Linked DNA regions of Ovis aries. Each later gene encodes a partner of the first gene's protein in a complex. Links are inferred from orthologs where the notes say so. Each region holds a gene or a part of one and is shown in the gene's direction. Other genes may lie near its edges.

Region 1 (6,655 bases):
CCCAGCCCAGGTCTCCAGCTGGGGATGACAGGAGGAGGCTTCTGAAACCAGCACCGCTTCTGGGCAAAGGCAGCTTGGGCAGAGGAGGGGCACGTACAGAGAGGTTAGGAGGACCTGCTCCAGGCTGAGGTTGGAGGCCGCCCAGATGCCCATGGGCCTGGCGAGGAGGCTCCACGGCGGCCAGGGCTTTCAGGTCTGCTCTGCCGTCTCAGCCTCCCTCCTTTCGCGGCGGAGACAAGGCCTGGAGACCTGTGTAAGAGCACTGGCTCTGCAGTCGGGTAGACCCAGTCTTGATCCCCCAGCAGTGTCATCCCCTTTCTAGGAGTGTGGCTTCAAGCTCACCTTCCCTGAACCTGGGACCAACATCGGCTCTGTTTACCTAGGGAGAATTCTTATAAGGATTTGAGGCAGCTTGGATTGTTGGTTCACCAGTGGACACCCTCCTTAGTGGAGGCATCCGCCCTTCCCAGCCCCGCCCTGCCAGTGGGTCTAGAGTGGGTGCTAACGAAGCTGGGCGCCTCTGTGCACAGCCTGGGACTCCCACATCACGCCATGACTCAGACCCTCACGGTTGCTCCCTGTGGGCTGCATATGACTCCCCCTGCACAGGGATGGGTTGCCCAGCTGGCCCTGAGGGTCCCTGAATCTTCCTGCCAGTCTGAGCGAGCTCTCTGCTTCCTAGTTTCCTGGATCTCAACCTGACTTAGGGTTCAAACCTTAACCCGTACCAACCCCTAAAGCTTTCCCAGCGTGTGGCCTTGGAGGACCAAATGCACAGGCCAGGTCTGTCTCCAGGGCAAGTGATGGCATGGCAGGGGCCATGATGCCTAAGGTACCAGCGAGGCCCCGCCCCTGCCTGTCTGTGTGGCTTCTGGGCCTCCCTCCCAGGAGCATCAGATGGGAAGATGCGACAGCCCCCTGGTAAACCTGAGGAGTGTGAGAGGTGGGTGGAGGCGCAGAGGGCCTCTGGGAAGCACTGCAGGGTACTGTTAGGAGGTGGGATCCAAAACCCTGACTCAGGGCTGGGCCAGGCACTCACCTTCATTAGAAAACCTGAGTTTTCTAATCTAGGAAATAATACATTTACCTCAAGAAATTAAGGGTGGAACATGATAATGCGCAGAAAGACTAGAAGCTAACTTTAGCCCATCGTTATTTTAAGATGAAGAAATGACAGTGTTAGAAACACGTGTGTGCACGCTAGGCTGCTTCATTCATGTCCGACTCTTTGGGAGCCTATGGACTGTAGCCCACCAGGCTCCTGTGGGATTCTCCAGGCAAGACTACTAGGATGGGTTGCCATGCCCTCCTCCAGGGGATCTTCCCGACCCAAGGAACAAACCCGAGTCTCTTACATCTCCGCATTGGCAGGCAGCTTCTTTACCACTAGCACCACCTGAAAGCCCATAAACACATTAGTCTCATTGAAAAGCCTGACTTGTCTGAGTGAGGCTGAACTGTGTGCGAAGCCCTTGGTCTGAGTTAGAGGCTCTGAGCGCCTGAGGCCGGGACGCGGGCGTCTCTTCCTCAGCTCCGCCCCACACCTGGCCCTGGACAGGTGATGCCGTCCCTCCCTGGCTTGGGTCGGGGCTGGCACTCTGGGAGGGCAGTGCCCACACCTGGTCCACAGTCCCCGTGTGCTGCCATCCCCAGCTACCTGGACAGCCTGGACCGGATCGGGGCCGCCGACTACCAGCCCACCGAGCAGGACATCCTCCGAACCAGGGTCAAAACCACCGGCATCGTAGAAACCCACTTCACGTTCAAGAACCTCCACTTCAGGTGAGGGCCAGGGAGACTCCCCATCCCTGGAGAGGGTGCTAAGACACGGGCGACCCCTGCCTCCCAGCCTCAGCTCATCTGGAGCATTCCTGTCTCAGGGAGCTCTCAAGTTGGGACAAGCAGTTGGATGCGAGAAGGGACCTGTGTGTACCCCTCTTTGCCACCAAGGTCAGGGGCTGTGGTGAGCAGGGAGGCTTCCTAGAAGAAGCATCCTGGAGAGGGGCTCTGAGATACAGGGAGGATTCAAGTGGACAAAGGAGGGTAGTCCTGTCCCTGCCTGACTTCTGACGGGGAGGATGGTGGATCACCCAGGTGGTCTTTGAAGGCATGGAGGCGTGGGGGATAAGAGCGGGCGAACCTAAGCAACATGTTTTGTGTGACCCAAGGACCCATGTCATCTCAGAACTAGAAGGGGCTTGGAGATCAGCTGGCCCACCCTCTCCAGGTATATAGGGGAAACTGAGACCTGGAGGAGCAAGTCTGTTCCCGAGCACAGAACATAGCTCAGGCCCAGGGTCTGAGCACCGTAGGCCCTGCCAGGGTGTCATAGCACCACCTGGGGCAGCTTGCATGCCCTGAGGCCTGGGTGCCCCTAGCTGCCTCCAGCTGCCTCCTGGGTGTGGTTTCTGGGTGTTGGGTGGAGCAGGAGGAGAGGCCAGGATGGCCAGGACAGTAGACCAGTAGACTTGAGTGAGGCCACTGCCTGGCCCTGCCCAGCCTGAGGCCCAGCCCCTGCCTGCTCTAGTCCCTCAGTCTCTCCCACTTACCGATCAGGGCAGAGGGTGTAGAGCTGGGCTGGGGGCGCCTGGCCCGCAGCAGCTGAGAGTATGTGCTGTGGAGGGGCCTCAGAGACCATCACCAGGGCCCAGTATTTCAGATGGAGAAGCAGGGTCCAAGGGAGGTGGTGACGGGATGAGGACCGGACCTGTGTCCTTGCTCTAGGTCCGCTGTGGGCTTCGGCCTGTGGCTGTTCTCCTCTATCAGCGGGTTGGGGCCCTGCCCACCCTGGCAGCTGTGCGTCAGGCCTGGGATCTTCACTCAGGGCGTTAGATGTGAGGTTGACCTCGCACTTCCAGGACCAAATCCCCTCTGCCACCATCTCCCCTGACAGCTCTCATGCCCCAGGGGATGATGCTGAGAAGGGGTGAGGGAGGGCGGGCACAGAGCAGAGAGACAGACGTTGACAGCCAGACGTCTACAGACCGACGTTGGTCTCACCCCAACTCCTGCCGGCACCCTGCACTCAACCCCTTGCTGCTTCACTGGGCCTCCACGTGGGAGCTGCAGGTCCCTGCCCACCTCCCTCTGTGCCTCCCAGGCTGCTCTGGGGTTTCCCCGGACCACAGACGTGAACAGACATGCTCAGAAAGCTGGAGGCTTGCGAAGGCATGTCCAGCCGAGGTCACCCCTTCGCAACAGCGCTGAGATGCAGGGGCGGGTCTTGGCGTCGCTGTGTGGGGCACCACCCAGTCCCGGGGCAGAGCAGTGACGGCCACCCCACCCCGAGGGTGCCGTGCTCGGTCCTCAGCCCGAAGCGAGGCTCCTTGGGAGGCTTGCTGTGTGCACAGCAGCCTTCCTCCCTGACCCCGCAGCTCGACCAGTGTCCCCACACCTGCTGGGGTCTCCCTACCCCCACCCCCAGCTCTCCTGTCTTCCTGGTAGGCTGTTTGACGTCGGGGGCCAGCGGTCTGAGCGCAAGAAGTGGATCCACTGCTTCGAGGACGTCACGGCCATCATCTTCTGCGTCGCGCTCAGCGGCTATGACCAGGTGCTCCACGAAGACGAGACCACGGTGAGTGGCCCCAGCCCGCCCGGCCTCAGTGGCCCACGATGCCTCTCGGGCAGAGCCAGCTGCGGGGGTGGGGGTCCGTCCTTGGCTTGGTTGTTCCCACCTCTCTCCTGACTTCAGCCAGATGCCTCATGATGCCAGTGCAGTGAAGGCAGCCTTGGGCCCCCTGCCAGAGGCTATGTGCAGATGCCGGGGCACGGGCAGCAAGGGCCTCTTCAGTAAACACAGCAGAGTCGCAGAGGCCGTCAGGCCAGAACCAAGTTAAGCAAATCCTAAATGAAATCAGGGTGCAGTCAAGCAAGAATTTATGTAAGACAGAAATAGCAGTTCTTAGCTCCGACAGCCCTCCCTGAGCAGTGGGCAGGGCTGGCAGAGGGTTGGGCTGTGGGCCAGGGCTCATGGTGAGTGACAGGGTGGGGGGCACAGGCCCCTCCCCTGGAGGGCGCCAGCCCGGGTTCCCACCTTCCGTCTCTGCGTCTTCAGTCTGGGGCCTCGGAGAACTGCCAGGCTGAGGGGAACTTCAGAGGGGGGCCCTCTCTGCAGGGGGTGCTGCCTTTCTCTAGGCCTGGCCTTGGTTTGCTGCTGGATTCAGGGAGCACCCTCTCTATCTTAGGGGTGTAACCATCATACCCGCCTGGTGGGGTGTGGGCAGTGGGGTGAGAATCTTCAAGGACTTGGAACCGTCTCTGGCTTAGCAGCCCTGGGCTGGTGGTTGTGTCGTCCCTGAGGGTTGTCCTGAGCCGGGGTCCCACTGAGCTGCCCACAGAGAGGTGGGCCTGGTGGGGTCTCAGGAGACAAGCACCCGCTGAGGTGGGGCTTCTGGGCCGTGGGGTCACATCCTTGGCGATCGTTAGCTCCTGTGTGTGATGCAGGCAGGCACAAACCCCTGGCGCTGAGGTTTTGGGACTGGGCTTGTCAGGGTGGGCCTTGAGCAAGGCTATCTTCTTTCCGGGTCTGTCTCGTCGTCGGTCCTGCCTGCCGGTCCCACGGGGCTGCTACTGAGGTCTGCTGGGCTTTGGGGTGTGGTGGTATGGGAAGAGGCGCCGCCGTTCGGAGAGGTCGGGCTTATGCGGTGACGGTGCCATGGTTAGATGGGGCCAGAGCCACCGGCCGGGTGGGCCGTCAGCACTCGCGCCGCATGCTGACCTGTCGCCCTTGCCTTTTCTCCTTCGGTACCTGGAACACTTCCGAGCGGGGCATCAGCGGAACCCCACAAACCCTGCTGTGTTACGGGGCGAGGCTCTGGGACCCCAGGTGTGCAGCTCTTTCTAACGCTGGCACTGTTCTCAGTGGCCTCAGGAGCCGTGGTGTCTAAGACCCCCAGACCTGGACCTACTGACTGTCCCGAAGCCCAGCTCGGCTCCTGCTGCCCCCATAAGGCACCGCACACAGAGACCACCCCAGCCCATCACTCACTGATCCACTGTTGACCCTGCTTCTGGACCCACTGTTCACAGCCCGCTGGGCCAGCGTGTGGTCTGAGCTCCGTGTGGCTCATCTCTTCTCCTTGCTGCTCCTGGGAGTGTGGTCTGAGCTCCGTGTGGCTCATCTCTTCTCCTTGCTGCTCCTGGGAGTGAGAAGCAGGGCTGGTGCAGGAAGCTGACCCTGCTGTGAGTTTGAAAGAAAACCAAGCAGTGGAGTGTCGAGGGCCCCAGGCCTCTTCCCGGAGACCCGTCCGGCTCAGGCCCAAGGCCCAAGGCCCTCTCAGGAAGGGGCGCGCACTGGCCTCCGGAGCATGGGCAGAGCAGAGGATGTCGGAGCGGGTCTGGCGGCCACGGGGTCCCAAGCTCTGTGGCCTGCGAGTCTCGAGTGAACCCAGCAGGTGCTGGGCCTCACGCTCAGACGGCCTTCCCGGCCTGCCGGCCCACCCGCCCTGTGCCAGCTCCTCACCAGCTCTCGCTCTGGCGCAGAGCCCATTCTGGAGCACCTTCCTCCTCGCCCTCCTGCTTTCACTGTCTCTGTCCCATCCTCTCCCTCAGCTCTTCCCCCATTTCCCTGCCCTTCTTCACAAAGGCTGGGTTCGAGGACAGGAAGCCACAGCATGTGGGGTTGCGAATGGGCTCTTCCTGGGTTCCTTTCCACCCGGGAGAGAGCGGCAGCCTCTCCAGAGCTCGGGTGTTGGCATCACCACTCGACAAGAGCCTGCAGAGGCGGCTCCTTGCCATGGTGCCAGTGAGAATAGCGCCCTGCCTGTGTGTCCAGGGCCAGGTGGACATAGCCCGGGGTCTAGCGCCACTGCTGACACCATGGGAGTGTGGCAGCCACCCCACCTGCTCCTCTGTAAAGTGGAGCCCATGACGAGAGGCCTCTGGGCGGCTCTGAGGACCCCTGGGGCTGGGGGCTGTAAGAGTGCCTGCGCTCGCTCTGGACCCTTCACGTAGCAGACGGCAGCTGCGACACGACTCTGCCCAGGAGCACCCCTTGAAGCCAAGTGGTGGGACTCGCACGTGCTGCCCCCGGGAGCAAGAGCTCCAGCCGCTGACCCATCCTTGGTTGTCCACCTTCCTCTCTGGTCGGCCCTGCCCCGCCCTCCCAGGCCGGAGGAAGTGGGGGTGAGAATTGGGGCTGCCTGAGAAAAAGGTGTCTGGGGGCTCCTGGAGCTTGGCCAGGAGCCGTGGGGCTGGTGGCTGCCTGCCCACCAGCTGGCCACCCTGCCTGCCACAGCCCGGACCCCTGCGGCCCTGGGCCTCATTTGCCACAACTTCTCAGCAGCAGCACCGTCACCGCCGCCTGCAGGGCCTTAACTTGCCAAACCAAGGCCAAACCCATGAGCAGATTCTGAGAGACGCTGCAAGTCGGGCAGGTATGAAGCGCCTCCTTCCAGCTGAGACCGTCAGCTAAGAGTTGAAAGCAGCAGGTTCCCAGGGCACCGCCGGGTGACTTTGCTGTGAAGCCTGCCCCTACTCCCGCGTCCCACCCTCCTCACCGGCCAGCCTAGGCTGATGCGCCCCACCTTGCCTTCCATCTCCAGCCACACGGTCCACAGACCTGGGGCGGCCGTGGTCTCTGGAGCCTGCCCTGGAGGCCCTCCAGACAGATCGGCTTTGACTTCCTGGCCTGAGACTGGTTGAACTAATTTGGAGT
Region 2 (7,321 bases), on another chromosome or scaffold:
TGATCCCTGGGTTAGGAAGATCCCCTGGAGAAGGGAACGGCAACCCATTCCAGTATTCTTGCCTGGAGAATTCCATGGACAGAGGAGCCTGGTGAGCTACAGCTCATGGGATTGCAAAGAGTTAAACACAACAGAGAGACAAACACATATGTTAAGAGGAAGAACTCTGCATATAAAGAGGCTCTGTAGCTAGCCTTAGACATGTTGTGTACTAGGAACTCAACAAAAGACAGCTATCATTATTATTAATAATTGTCCTGAATTGGACTCTAAGACCCTAGCTCCTTGAAAAGCCTGTTTCCATTTTAGGAGAAAAGACTCCAAACCCAGGAATTAAGAAGCTGACTGCCTGCTGACTGGCTGTTTGGGAAGCATTTAGAAAATGTGACATGAGATGTTATACACAGGCTAGCAGCAGAGATTCCAAGAAAAGAAAGCCCTGTGGCCTCTATTTTCATTTCCCTTTTTGCTCCTGAAATGAGATGGGAAGGAGAGATGTGTGTCAGCAGCTGGTGTGGAGAGAGGCGGTGATGATCTATGAAAACTCCGGCCCTAAGGTCTGTGACCATCACAGGGAAGCCCAGATTGTCATGGGCTTTCATGTTTGTCTCTCTTAGCATTCATACTTGAGGTCTGGGGCTCTTAGTTTCTGTGCAGAGGTGAGCGTGACCACATTTCCAACTGAGTCTCATGCAATCTCTCCATATCTCTTCTCTCAGGAGATGCAGAGCTGAGACTTGGTTAGAAGATGGAAAATGGACTTAACAGAGGGAGGAAAGATTGCCTTAACTTTCTTCAGGTGCTCCAGAAAAGGGGATTAGAAAGGACCTTGAGCATCAAGGCTGAGCATCACCTTCAACACCAGCTGATGTCCAGAATTAAATCTGGAAAGGGAGATCATCCAGTTGGAGGAATGATTGCATGGGGACACCTGTGAAATACTTTGAAAAGCACAGACTTCAGGACTATCTACATCAAGAGCAACCACACTGATTACTGTATCACTGGCGGAGACTGTAGACATCAGCTGGTGTTGAAAGTGATGCTCAGCCTTGATGCTCAAGGTCCTTAATTTAGTCCTCAGTCCTGAGCCTGAACCCTGCTGGGCAGAGAAGCAATCTGTTCCATCCTTAGAACTTCCAGCTTGATTGACTACATAAGGTATTTTGGTTTAGTAGGCCCTTAAATAAGATAGCTTTTCTTTAGGTCTCATCTCTCTCCTGCTGACAGTTCCCATCCTCCTGGGCCTTGCCCTTAAACTGCCTACTGTTTATTTGAAAAGTGCAGATAACACAAGCCGGTACTCTAGCAACGGTTAAAATAGATGTCAGGACACCGAGCATGCAGAGGAACACTGCACTCACCCCCTCTCCATTCTATTCCTATCAGAGGGAACGTGGAAAACATTCTCTTTTCTCTCGGGCAGCATCCTCGTCTTACTGAAAGACTGGTGTGCGTGCATCTGAAATGCAGATGTGGTGGGGGGCGAAGTCTAGCTTTCGGCCTCAACAAAGACACAATGGTTCAGAGAAGACCAGAGCAGAGCAACCCGTCAGGCAGGATCCAGGCCTCCGGGATCTGCGAGAAACGTGGGTTGCCCTGTATCGGCAGGGTGGGCTGCCAGCTCTGCAGGCATCAGAGCCCTCTTCCTGATGTGTCTTCATCAGCCCAAGCCTCACTCTCGCCGGGGAGAGGGAGCCACACAAGAGTGTATGCATTAGGAAGATTTCTGCAATATGACAAAGTGCAATAAAAAATCTGGGTTCTCTGTCCCCGAGCTTGGACCCAAACTTGCCCTGAGATGAGAGAAGGCAGTCGCAGGGGCGGGAGTAGGCTCCGGGCGCCCGCGGGTAGACTCGCAGCGGTGCCGGCGTGCGGCCGGCAGGTGTCAGTGCGCCCTCGCGCTGCCGCCGCGCGCCGCCTCCGCTCCAGGACCCCTCCTCACCGTGGTCTAGCGGGCGCCGGCTCAGACCCAGGCTGCTCGGGTCTCGCAGCAGCTCTGCAGCTGGGACCACAAATGGCCGCTTCTCCCCACAGTGGAGCTCTTAACTCTGGCGGAGCTCACTCCGCGCGTGTGTGTGGGGGGTGCCTCCCTTTCCGCCAAAGGGGTTGGATCTGAACGTGCGCCTTCCTCTCACCAGCCCCACTCGCCCCGCCGCCCGGAGCACTTGCAGGAAAAGTGTGGCCCGGCCCAGGGCGGGGTTGTTCCGGATGCGACCTGTACCGGTAATTGCTTCTCCCGATTCATCCGGGGGACCTCAACACCCTTTCCTCCCAAGTCCCACTCAGCTCGATGTGGCCACTCCCGGGTGCCCAATGTGTTCTGCTCGGCGCGCCCAGAGATGCTTGGCCAATTCCCAGCAGGCACTCCCCGGGCACGCCCTTTAAATCCCTCGCTCAGGGTATCCGCCTCCCCAAAGGGCCCGTCTCACCAAGGGGGGGGGGGAGGGTTCCAGTGGGTCCCGCGCTGGGCGAGGGCGCTAGACCCGCGGAGGGGAGGTGCAAGGGGCGGGGGAGGGTCGGTTTCCCACGTGGGGGCTGACGCCGGCTGCTCAGCAACGCCGGCTTGATCCTGGGGCTATAAAACCAGTCCACGGCTAGTGCGGCGGAGAAGCAGCGGCCCGGGCTTCAGTGCAGACGCCTAGCAGCCGGCGCGCCTCCGCTCGGCCACCCCCAGCACCTTTCTCTCCCCAGCCCTGCTCTCCTGCCCCAAACTCACGCTGCCCTCGGACCCCAGCCTGTCCCGTCGCGCTCAGCGCACGAAGCTCGCCGGGCCGACGCCCAGGAGACCTCCTGCCTCCGTCTCGGCTCCGGGAGGGCCGATCGCCCACCCGCCCGGGTCTGCCTGAGGACGGGGGCGCCTTCATGCTGCCCCCACACCCATCATCCCACCGACACCGCCGCCGCCGCCTCCGAGCTCCACGCGCTGCGCCCCAGCCCCAGCAGGGCACTCAACTTTGGAAGTCCCGCGACGCTCCGAGAGGCGGCAGAGTCCGCACCGTGGCCCCAACCCGGGCCCCGCCGGCCCCGCCGCGTCTGGGGGAAGCGAGAGAGTCGGTGTTCGCTTCGGAGATGTAAGGAGAGAGTCGCAGGACCCCAAGCCAGCATCAGCACCCCTCGGCTGCCTCCTGGGTTGGGGGCGGGCCCCGCACACGGTAAGACCTCTTGCTTTCGCTCAGGCTCAAGAGTCAAAGATATATAAACAGATATATTTAATTTCCTGTTATCTTTCCAAGTCATCAGGCCACCGATGATTTTTGTTCTCTCTTCTTGAAGAATAAATCTCTCTTTCCCCATCGGTTCGACCTACTCTCTCCCGCCGCTTAGAAATAAAACTTGGCTGTATCTAGGAGCTGGGAGCGAGAAGGCGCCGACCCCGAGCGCCTGAAGCGCGCGGACCGGGTGCGGTTCGCGGGAGCCGGGCCCATGGGCCGCTAGCGGTCCCCCAGCTCGGGGCCCGGCCTCCCTGAGGCCCCTTCTCCATGTGAGGTGCGGCGGGGCGAGCGGGGCGCGAGAGGAAGAGGAGGACCCACGGGCACCGGGCCGGAAGGCAGCTGGCAGCAGGCCCAGGCGAGTGGGCACCCGCGTTCATGTTCCGCCAGGAGCAGCCGCTGGCCGAGGGCAGCTTCGCGCCCATGGGCTCCCTGCAGCCGGACGCGGGCAACGCGAGCTGGAACGGGACCGAGGCCCCGGGGGGCGGCGCCCGGGCCACCCCCTACTCCCTGCAGGTGACGCTGACGCTGGTGTGCCTGGCCGGCCTGCTCATGCTGTTCACGGTGTTCGGTAACGTGCTTGTCATCATTGCTGTGTTCACAAGCCGCGCGCTCAAGGCGCCCCAGAATCTCTTCCTGGTGTCTCTGGCTTCGGCGGACATCCTGGTGGCCACGCTTGTCATCCCTTTCTCGCTGGCCAACGAGGTCATGGGCTACTGGTACTTCGGCAAGGCGTGGTGTGAGATCTACCTGGCGCTCGACGTGCTCTTCTGCACGTCTTCCATAGTGCACCTGTGCGCCATCAGCCTGGATCGTTACTGGTCCATCACCCAGGCCATAGAGTACAACCTGAAACGCACGCCACGCCGCATCAAGGCCATCATCGTCACGGTGTGGGTCATCTCGGCCGTCATCTCCTTCCCCCCGCTCATTTCCTTCGAGAAGAGAGGCAGGAGTGGCCAGCCGTCCGCCGAACCGCGCTGTGAGATCAACGACCAGAAGTGGTACGTCATCTCGTCGAGCATCGGCTCCTTCTTCGCGCCCTGCCTGATCATGATCCTGGTCTACGTGCGCATCTACCAGATCGCCAAGCGCCGCACCCGCGTGCCGCCCAGTCGCCGGGGGCCCGATGCCGCCGCCGCTGAGCTGCCAGGGGGCGCCGAGCGCAGGCCCAACGGCTTGGGCCCGGAGCGCGGCGGCGTGGGCCCCGTGGGCGCCGAGGTCGAGTCGCTGCAGGTGCAGCTCAATGGTGCCCCGGGGGAGCCCGCGCCCGCAGGGCGGCCGGACGCCGACGCGCTGGACCTAGAGGAGAGCTCCTCGTCTGAGCACGCTGAGCGGCCCCCGGGGTCCCGCAGGTCGGAGCGCGGGCCCCGGGCCAAGGGCAAGGCCCGGGCGAGCCAGGTGAAGCCCGGGGACAGCCTGCCGCGGCGCGGGCCGGGGGCGACGGGGCCGGGGGCACCCGCGGCGGGGCCCGCGGAGGAGCGCCCTGGCGGGGCCGCCAAGGCGTCGCGCTGGCGCGGGCGGCAGAACCGCGAGAAGCGCTTCACCTTCGTGCTGGCGGTGGTCATCGGCGTGTTCGTGGTGTGCTGGTTCCCCTTCTTCTTCACCTACACGCTCACGGCCATCGGCTGCTCCGTGCCGCCCACGCTCTTCAAGTTCTTCTTCTGGTTCGGCTACTGCAACAGCTCGCTGAACCCGGTCATATACACCATCTTCAATCACGACTTCCGCCGCGCCTTCAAGAAGATCCTCTGCCGGGGGGACAGGAAGCGGATCGTGTGAGTGTGGAGTCCGCTCCCGGAGAACAGACTTGCGCTGACTGCAGGCAGCTGGGATCCAGGGGGCGCGTCTACGTGGTCCTGCCAAAACCCGGGTCCAGCCTGTTCCTAGTTTCTTGGCCCCAGGATAGCTCTGCCGCTTCTTGCGGGCATCTGCGCTCTCCTACCTGAGAAAAGAACTGGCTGGGAGGGCCATACCCCTACTCCAACCCCCTCATTATTGCTAGGGCAGCTCCTCACTCAGAGCCATCTTCCTGGGTTCTTGGGCAGCCCCAAATCAGTATTGTTTCCTAAAAATATTTTCACCTCCCCTGGGCCCAGCTGTCACAGTCGTTCAGAGCAAGCACGAGAGCCCAGAGGGGATGGATGGCTCCCAAAGGGTTAACAGATGGGTTGGGGGTGGGGGTTACCCAGCCCTGGCTAATTGCTTTCCCCCTTCCCCAACTCTTATTTTTAAACAAATGCTCAGGGCAGCCCTGCAGGCCCTCCCGTCCCCCCACCCCTTGTAAATATACACTATTTTTGATAGTACTTGGGGGTGGGGTGGGGTCCCAAATGTCTCTTGGCTTTTGATGTTTGAATCCTGGCCACTGGAGGTGCTCTCCAGGCAGACTCATTGTGTCTAGTTCAGGGCGAGCCTCTTTGCAAAGTGAGCCCTTTTCTGGTGTCATTACCCTCTCTGTGTCCTCTTCACCAGCAACTGGTGACTGTCCCTTGGGACTGGACTTGCGATGAGATTTCCTGAGGGGGAAAACATTTCTGTCCATTTTCCCACCCCTGTGCCTAACAGCATAATTGCCTTGTCCTATGTAAATATTACAAAGATGGATCAAGACAGAAGTAAATGAACCTTTCTGCCTTGCAGCAGCCCTGTGTATAAAGCCATTATTCTCGGATGCACCCTTTTTCACTCCAGTACTGCACTTTAAAACCTTCTCTTTCCAGTGTCCCCTTCCTCCCTTCCTCTGGGGCCACTGCTTGAAAAATATGTATGTTTCCATCTTGGATGTATGTGTTACCACTCCCTCCTTCAGAGTGCTGACTGTGGGAAATCTTTTACCTGCTGTTTTTAGACACGGAGAGGTGGAAATTATGTGGAAGAAGCAAACCTGATACAATTTGCCCAAAGTAAACAGTGTGAAGAGACAAATGGGCCTGCCCAACTGTACAGTTCTTGCCCCAAGAGCTCTTAAGTATCAAAGTGTTGTCCATTTTTCCTCCCTGTTTTTCTGGTTGAGATCAAGTCATTGATAAACTCCCAAAGTCAAGGGAGAAGGGCGGAGACCTTGTTTACATCCAAGTTGCCCTATGTTTTAGACAGAGACTCTTTAAGGCCTGCGCTCATATTTCACTAAAGAAAAATTAATGTCAGCACATGTTGCTAATGACAGTGGATTTTTTTTAACAAAAAGTTTACAGATCAAATGTGAAATAAATATGAATTAAATGGTCTGTCTGTTATCTGAGTTTTCAAAAGCATTAAGACTCTGGAAACATCTGAATTTATGTATATTTGAAATTAAAAAAATACTTATGCATTATAAAACACTTTTAAAAGGCCAAGCAGTAACAAAGCTGCCATTTATCATCTGTTTCTTCTTTGCCAGATGCGATGGTGAGTCTGTTATAAGCTCTGTTTCATTTAATTGTCCCCCAAAGCCCATGAGGGTAGGGACTGTTATGATCCCCATTTAACAGGTGAAAAAAACTGAGTCTCAGAGGGCAAGGGATTTATTCAAGGTTAACCACAGTTGGGGGAGTGTACTGCATGCAGGGTGATCAGGTCTTAGGGTCTGTACTCCTCACCCCAGAGTTTTGCAGGAGTTATATCACTAACACTTTGCAGAATGCTCCCAGCAGTGGGGTCTCTACACGAGGTGTGCTGTATCTACAGAGCACTGGATATATTCCGAGTGTGTAGATACACACAAAGTCTGTGCGTGCTGCAGTGCCTTTATGCCCTTACATGTGTTATTCCTCAAAATGTATACATCCCCCAAGTGTGGTGGATGCACAAATTATGCCATATACTCCAAAATGTGTACCAGACCTAACAATGTGATAATATACAACATGTGGTACATAGCCCATAGTATGGTATAGGCTTCCCAGGTGATGCCAGTGGTAAATAACCCGCCTGCCAATGCAGGAGATGCCCGAGACAAGGGTTCAGTCCCTGGGTTGGGAAGATCCCCTGGAAGAGGGCATGGCAATCCACTCCAGGATTCTTGCCTGGAGAATCCCGTGGACAGAGGAGCCTGGTGGGCTGCAATCCATAGGGTCACAGAGTCAGACACGACTGAAGCAGCTTAGCATGCATGCATGGTGTAT

Evidence for each region.
Region 2: the proteins of GNAO1 (region 1) and ADRA2A are in contact, whole or in part, in a cryo-EM structure (PDB 7W6P), measured with the Homo sapiens proteins. The link is inferred for Ovis aries from reciprocal best matches to the Homo sapiens genes GNAO1 and ADRA2A. Residues at the interface, in NP_066268.1 of Homo sapiens: Ile28, Lys32, Lys193, Asn194, Leu195, Asp218, Phe336, Thr340, Asp341, Ile343, Ile344, Ala345, Asn347, Leu348, Gly350, Cys351, Gly352, Leu353, Tyr354; in NP_000672.3 of Homo sapiens: Arg77, Arg146, Ser149, Ile150, Ala153, Ile154, Asn157, Leu158, Arg160, Pro162, Ile234, Ala238, Arg241, Arg383, Arg386, Phe387, Val390, Leu391, Phe444, Asn445, His446.

What each region holds. Positions count from the first base shown.
Region 1 is NC_056067.1:23,769,594-23,776,248, reverse strand, and holds part of GNAO1 (guanine nucleotide-binding protein G(o) subunit alpha), read left to right. Parts: intron 1-1,653; coding exon 1,654-1,782; intron 1,783-3,444; coding exon 3,445-3,574; intron 3,575-6,280; exon of another isoform or gene 6,281-6,374; intron 6,375-6,655. UniProt on the Homo sapiens protein: Guanine nucleotide-binding proteins (G proteins) function as transducers downstream of G protein-coupled receptors (GPCRs) in numerous signaling cascades.
Region 2 is NC_056075.1:31,104,164-31,111,484, forward strand, and holds ADRA2A (alpha-2A adrenergic receptor), read left to right. Parts: upstream 1-2,607; 5' UTR 2,608-3,155; intron 3,156-3,276; 5' UTR 3,277-3,590; coding exon 3,591-4,994; 3' UTR 4,995-6,442; downstream 6,443-7,321. UniProt on the Homo sapiens protein: Alpha-2 adrenergic receptors mediate the catecholamine-induced inhibition of adenylate cyclase through the action of G proteins.